Linked DNA regions of Anolis sagrei. The protein of the gene in region 1 purifies or fractionates together with the protein of each later gene. This does not show direct contact. Links are inferred from orthologs where the notes say so. Each region holds a gene or a part of one and is shown on either strand. Other genes may lie near its edges.

Region 1 (3,749 bases):
AGGAGCATAGTGTCTAGATCTAAGGAAGTAATGCTACCCCTCTATTCTGCTTTGGTTAGACCACACCTGGAATATTGTGTCCAATTCTGGGCACCACAATTCAAGAGAGATATTGACAAGCTGGAATGTGTCCAGAGGAGGGCGACTAAAATGATCAAGGGTCTGGAGAACAAGCCCTATGAGGAGCGGCTTAAGAAGCTGGGCATGTTTAGCCTGAAAAAGAGAAGGCTGAGAGGAGACATGATAGCCATGTATAAATATGTGAGAGGAAGTCATAGAGAGGAGGGAGTAAGCTTGTTTTCTGGAGACTACGGCACAGTGCAACAATGGCTTCAAACTACAAGAAAGGAGATTCCATCTGAACATGAGGAAGAACTTCCTGACTGTGAGAGCTGTTCAGCAGTGGAACTCTCTGCCCCGGAGTGTGGTGGAGGCTCCTTCTTTGGAGGCTTTTAAACAGAGGCTGGATGGCCATCTGTCAGGGGTGATTTGAATGCAATATTCCTGCTTTTTGGCAGGGAGTTGGACTGGATGGCCCATGAGGTCCCTTCCAACTCTAGGATTCTATGAAAGCTTAATTCTGAGCACAATCCAGGTAACTGAAACACACCTGCTTCAATGGAAACCATCAGGACATCTCTACTGGCAGCCACACTTACCTGGGAGTGAGCCACTTCACTGTGTTGTGGAAGTTACTTTCCTGTCTGAAATCAACCCCTGGGAAGGCTTAATTGCTTAACACGGCTGCATCCCTTCTGTCCTTTTAGGGTTTCTTTAGAAGCACTCTGCACATGATCAGAGTCTACTTGGGCATCACAGATCCCTTGCTTCCAAACAACCAACCATCCAGCCCACAAAAGCCGAGCCCCGAAACAATCGATGGCTCCTTCTCGACGAGAGAACCCAATCGAACTCAAGAGCCGACCCTCCTTCGCGATGGCGCATGCGCTAGATTTGAAACACGCACGACTCGCTTCTTTCCTTCTGCGCATGCGCTATCCGTCTTGTGAACCACTCCTCCACAACATTTCGTATACAGTGCCTCGGAAGAGCCTTCGGAAGTAGTGCGCGTGCGCGGTACTTCCCTCCGTGCTCTGTCTTCACACTGCGCAGGCGTGTTGGCTAACGGCTGTTTCCCGTGCCTTCCTCCCATTGGCCGGTTTTTTCTTTAGGGCGGGACTAGCGCGAATTCCAAACGATTTCCTGAATCCATTTTTGTGTAAGGAAGGAATCGGCTCAGAGTTAAAGAGGGAACAGTGCGGCCTATCTATTGTGAGAGGATCTTCCTGCGCCATCTGTTTTGTTTGGAATCACAGGTATTTCCTTCTGAGTGGGAGAGAGGAGGCGGGTAGGCCTTTCTCCTGATTGGCAGTGTTGGAATTCAACCCCCACACTGCCCAAGTCTGCAGTCCTCAATGAGGAACAGTTAGTTTTAGAATAGGCTTCCCCCCTGACTCCTGAAAGGCAGTTGGATTGTATCTTTCTGTTCTCTCTCTATCTTTTTCTGCTCCCATCCTGATTGGTGGTGTAGAATTGATACTCTTCAGGTTGCATGCCTTTGCTGAAGTCTTCTGCATTTCATCTTTGCACTCAGACTCTCTCTACTTTGTATGTTTGAAGAGATGTGTTTGGAGAGATGTGTTTTGGAAATTAGAAGTTATGGAGTTCTAGAGAAATGTATTTATTTACAACATTTATATGCCGCCCTTCTCACCCCAAAGGGGACTCAGAGCAGCTGACAAGATAAATAAAGCCCTAAACGGTCCCGGCCCAAGCTACCTATCCAACCGCATCTCTGCCTATGAACCCACCAGGTCTTCACTTTTTTGCGGAATACCATTAGAGATGGTACTAGTCTAATGTCCGTAGGAAGGGCGTTCCATAGCCGAGGAGCCACCACCGAGAAGGCCCTATCTCTCGTCCCCGCCAGCCATGCTTGAGAAGCAGGCGGGATCGAGAGCAGGGCCTGCTTCTCAATCATGGCTGGCGGGGACGAGAGATAGGGCCTTCTCGGTGGTGGCTCCTCGGCTGTGGAACGCCCTTCCTACAGACATTAGACTAGCACCATCTCTAATGGTATTCCGCAAAAAAAGTGAAGACCTGGCTGTTTGAGCAGGTGTTCGAATAATTAGTGCAATGATTGGTTAATGAACACTGGAATGGAACAATGGATGACGAATCTGGAACATGTTTTTGATGACGAGACGACAGTGAATGGGTATTGTAGTAACTGTTTATTAATTGTGTAATGTGTTAGGTTGTTACTGTTTCTATACTGTAGCACTGAATTTTCGCTGTTTGTATTTGTTGTGAACCGCTGTGAGTCGCCTTCGGGCTGAGAACAGCGGTATATAAGTAAGGTAAATAAATAATAATAAATAATAAATATTTGTCGTGTCAGGGCAACCAGTCAATTATATTACATTTCTAACAGAACAAAGCAAACAAACAGACAAAATACAAAATTTGTGAGTTTGATAGTTGATTCAATCTCCTTTGATCAGTATCTGGCCACTTGGAGTGCTTCTGGTGTTGCTGCAAGAAGGTCCTCCATTGTGCATGTGGCAGGGCTCAGGTTGCATTGCAGCAGGTGGTCTGTAGTTTGCTCTCCTCCACACTCGCATGTCGTGGATTCCACCCTGTAGCCCCATTTCTTGAGGTTGGCTCTGCATCTTGTGGTGCCAGGGCGCAGTCTGTTCAGTGCCTTCCAAGTCGCCCAGTTTTCTGTGTTCCCAGGGGGGAGTCTCTCATTTGGTGTCAGCCATTGGTTGAGGTTCTGGGTTTGAGCCTGCCACTTTTGGACTCTCACTTGCTGAGGTGTTCCAGTGAGTGTCTCTGTAGAACTTAGAAAACTATTTCTAGATTTAAGTCGTTGACGATTTATTTATTTACAACATTTATATGCCACCCTTCTCACTCCGAAGGGGACTCAGAGCGGCTTACAAGATATATATACATACAATATATTATATTATTAGCATAGTACAATATCAGTATTCAATATTACTATATTGTACTATACCATTATATTGGAATATTTTTAGTAAGATTACATGTAATCTATATAAATAAAAATGCTCTGTTCGTTTGTGGGATTAACATAACTTTTTTACATAACAGTGCGCCGGCCGATCCAGTTTTTAATAATGTCTTGATGTACTGCCACTGTTGTTATTTTGCTTATTGTTTGATTTGCTTAGTATTGCTTAGTATTGCCTAGTGTTATGTTATTTTGCTTATTGTTTGATTTGCTTTGTTGTTGTGATGTTACATTCTCTATTGTATTGTGTTTTGAGGCTTCGGCCTGTGTAAGCCGCATCGAGTCCTCCGGGAGATGCTAGCGGGGTACAAATAAAGTTAATAATAATAATAATAATAATAATAATAATAACTCAAAAACCACTGGACGAATTGACACCAATTTTGGACACAATACATCTCTCAGGCCAACGAGTGACCATCACGCATAAAAACACTAAAAAAAAAACACAGCAGAAGAGACTTAAAAAGCCAACAAAATAAAAAAATACATTTCAATTCATGCACAAAACCACATATATACACAAACACACATATATACACAATTGCTTATTGTGTGTTTTTTTGTTTTTGAGTTTTATTTCAACTGTTTGTATTGATTATTTGTTATTGCTTTTGTTTATTGATGTGCTGTGGGCTTGGCCTCATGTAAGCCACACTGAGTCCCTTGGGGAGATGGTAGCGGGGTACAAATAAAGTATTATTATTAT
Region 2 (3,749 bases), on another chromosome or scaffold:
TTGCAGGTGTGGTCTAAACAAGGCACAATAGAGGAGTAGCATTACTTCCCTAGATCTAGACACTATACTCCTATTGATGCAGGTCAAAATCCGATTGGCTTTTTTTGCCGCCACATCACATTGTTGGTTCATGTTTAACTTGTTGTCCATGAGGACTCCAAGATCTTTTTCACACATTGTTGTTGTTGTTGTTCATTCGTTCAGTCATCTGTCTCCGACTCTTTGTGACCTCATGGACCAGCCCACGCCAGAGCTCCCTGTCGGCCGTCACCACCCCCAGCTCCTTCAAGGTCAGTCTAGTCACTTCAAGGATGCCATCCATCCTTCTTGCCCTTGGTCGGCCCCTCTTCCTTTTGCCTTCCACTTTCCCCAGCATAATTGTCTTCTCTAGGCTTTGCTGTCTCCTCATGATGCGGCCAAAGTACTTCAACTTTGTCTTTAGTATCCTTCCCTCCAGTGAGCAGCCGGGCTTTATTTCCTGGAGGATGGACTGGTTGGATCTTCTCGCAGTCCAAGGCACTCTCAGCACTTTCCTCCAACACCACAGCTCAAAAGCATCGATCTTCCTTCGCTCAGCCTTCCCTAAGGTCCAGCTCTCACATCCGTAGGTTACTACAGGGAATACCATGGCTTTGACTAGGCGGATCTTTGTTGCCAGTCTGATGTCTCTGCTCTTTACGATTTTATCGAGACTGGACATTGATCTCCTCCCAAGAAGTAAGCGTCTCCTGATTTCCTGGCTGCACTCTGCATCTGCAGTAATCTTTGCGCCTAGAAATACAAAGTCTGTCACGGCCTCCACATTTTCTCCCTCTATTTTCCAGTTGTGAATCATTCTTGTTGCCATAATCTTGGTTTTTTTTGTTTCGCTGCAACCCAGCTTTTGCGCTTTCTTCTTTCACCTTGATTGTTAATATAGATTGAGTTTATTACTCATTGATTGTTTTGTAATATTGATAAGCTGAGCCAAGTCTACCAGGACTTCGTGAATAAATACCCTGTTTAATGTTTCTTGAAGTGGACTCAGTTATTCAAGAAAGCTCAATCTGCCCAAAAAAAGACCCCAGCAGTTTCGCCCAGACATAGATAGCAGCACGTCAAAGTTTTATTTTAAAGCGTCTGGGCGTAACGGCACATGCATATACAATATATTTTATTACACTATATTATAACATTAGCATAGCACAGGAGACAAGAATACCATAGCATTAATTCTATAGTGTAGAACACCCTACCGGAATTGTGGGAGTTGAAGTCCAAAACACCTGGAGGGCCCAAGTTAGCTCATGCCTGAGGTACACTATACTAAACTGTACGTATCCCACCTTCCTGAGAGTAGGTGTTGGACAAGGCCGGCCTTCCTTCCTAAACGAGACGGGAGCGCAGCTTTCGAGGAGGTCTCCTTGGCGACTGGCCCAAAATGGCGGCCCAGGCCTATCGCCTGAGACGGGCTGAAGAGGAAGTCCCTTTAGGCCCCGCCCCCTCTCGGCTCACGCGCACCTCTCCCTCCCTTCGCCCCTCTCCATCACGGAGCGCTGCCCAATCAGAGCGCGCTGTGGGCGGGAAGAGGCGGGGCTAAGGGGCAAGGGGGCGTGGCTAGGGGCGCCTGACTGCGCGCGAGGCTGGGCCGCTGCTTCCCTTCCTTCCTTCCCTTCCTTCCTTCCTTCCTCTCTCTCGCTCTACCGGCACCAGAGGCGGAAGAGGCGAAGATAGGCCTCAAGGCCTCCTCAAGGCCCCTTCGAAGCAAGGCGACGACAGAGAAGGAGAAGCGGGGGCCCGGCCGGGGAGGGAGGAAGGCCTCGCTCCCTACCTTCCTGCCGCCATGGCCGACAACGAAAAGGCGGACAACCAACGGCTGAAGAACTTCAAGAACAAAGGCCGCGACCTGGAGGTAGAGTAGCGCCGCTCTCTCCTGAGGGAAGGAGGGAAGGAGGGGGTTAAGAGAGAGGGCTTGGCTTGCTTGCTTGGTGAGGGCCTGTGGCTTTATAATCCGCGGCGGGGCCTGGTTTCCCTCACCCGCCGGCCGGCCTCGTCCTTCTTCCTCCTCCTCCGCCGCCAGAGGGAGGGTGGGGCCCGCTGGGATTCGCCTGCGAGGCCGCGGCCTAGGCCTCCGCGCGCAGTGACGACGCCGCCGCTTTCCTGCTTCCCTTTTTCATATCTCTTCGAATCGCCTTGTGATTCATAATATCAGAGAGAGCAGGCTTGGGCAAACTTCGGCCCCCGAGAGTGTTTTGGACTTCAACTCCCACCATTCCTAACAGCCTCAGGACCTTTCCTTTTCCCTCTCAGCCGCTTATGAGTCCAAAACACTCTGAGGGCCGAAGTTTGCCCAGACCTGAGATAATAATAGTAATTATAATTATATAAATAAAAATGTAACGTTCATAGAATCAGAGTTCGAAGAGAACTCATGGGCCATCCAGTCCAACCCCATTCTGCCAAGAAAGAAATTCTACCTAAATTTTAGAAATAACTTCGTGATTATGAGAGCTGTTCAACAGGGAAACAGGCTGCTTTGGAGAGCAATGGACTTTTCATCTTCAGGTGTCTTTAAGCAGAGGTGGTATGGCCATCTTTTAGGCACACTATAGTTATGTATTCTTGCACAGCAGTGAGTTGCACTGGCATAGCCCTTGTGGTCCCTTCCAATTGTAAGATCCTATGATTTAATTATTCCAAATAGAAAGAGTCCACCACTTTCTGAGGCAATCTATTTCACTGCTTAACGGTTCTTATAGTAGAAACTACTTATAGACTCAAAGAGTTGGAAAAGACCTCATGGGCCATCCAGTCCAACCCCATTCTGCTAAGAAGCAGGAATATTGCATTCAAAGCACCCCTGACAGATGGCCATCCAGCCTCTGTTTAAAAGCTTCCAAAGAAGGAGCCTCCACCACACTCTGGGGCAGAGAGTTCCACTGCTGAACGGCTCTCACAGACAGGAAGTTCTTCCTCATGTTCAGATGGAATCTCCTTTCTTGTAGTTTGAAGCCATTGTTCCGCATCCTAGTCTCCAAGGAAGCAGAAAACAAGCTTGCTCCCTCCTCCCTGTGGCTTCCTCTCACATATTTATACATGGCTATCATATCCCCTCTCAGCCTTCTCTTCTTCATGCGAAACATGCCCAACTCCTTAAGCCACTCCTCATAGGCTTGTTCTCCAGACCCTTGATCATTTTAGTCTCCCTCCTCTGGACACATTCCAGCTTGTCAATATCTCTCTTGAGTTGTGGTGCCCAGAATTGGACACAATATTCCAGCCGCTCCTCATACTGCTCTCGAGCCAGGCATCGTCCCCCCATTCGTTTGTGGGATTAACAGATCAACTCCCACCATTCCTAACAGCCTCAGGCCCTTTCCTTTTCCCTCTCAGTCGCTTATGAGTCCAAAACACTCTGAGGGCCGAAGTTTGCCCAGACCTGAGATAATAATAATAATAATCTATATAAATAAAAATGTAACGTTCATAGAATCATAGAATCAAAGAGTTGGAAGAGACCTCATGGGCCATCCAGTCCAACCCCATTTTGCCAAGAAGCAGGAATATTGCATTCAAATCACCCTTGACAGATGGCCATCCAGCCTCTGTTTAAAAGCTTCCAAAGAAGGAGCCTCCACCACACTCCGCAGCAGAGAGTTCCACTGCTGAACGGCTCTCACAGTCAGGAAGTTAGGTTCTTGTGGGTTTTTTCGGGCCATAGAGCCATGTTCTAGAGGCATTTCTCCTGACGTTTCGCCTACATCTATGGC

What was found. The genes of interacting proteins can lie anywhere in the genome.
Region 2: the proteins of KIF22 (region 1) and KPNA4 purify together in Homo sapiens (affinity purification with mass spectrometry; 3 studies listed by BioGRID and IntAct, counting the BioPlex papers as one, with this or other methods). This does not show direct contact. The link is inferred for Anolis sagrei from reciprocal best matches to the Homo sapiens genes KIF22 and KPNA4.

What each region holds. Positions count from the first base shown.
Region 1 is NC_090026.1:17,135,596-17,139,344, forward strand, and holds the start of KIF22 (kinesin-like protein KIF22), read left to right. Parts: upstream 1-1,174; 5' UTR 1,175-1,316; intron 1,317-3,749. UniProt on the Homo sapiens protein: Kinesin family member that is involved in spindle formation and the movements of chromosomes during mitosis and meiosis. Binds to microtubules and to DNA. Plays a role in congression of laterally attached chromosomes in NDC80-depleted cells.
Region 2 is NC_090023.1:246,816,038-246,819,786, reverse strand, and holds the start of KPNA4 (importin subunit alpha-3), read left to right. Parts: upstream 1-1,582; 5' UTR 1,583-1,822; coding exon 1,823-1,891; intron 1,892-3,749. UniProt on the Homo sapiens protein: Functions in nuclear protein import as an adapter protein for nuclear receptor KPNB1. Binds specifically and directly to substrates containing either a simple or bipartite NLS motif.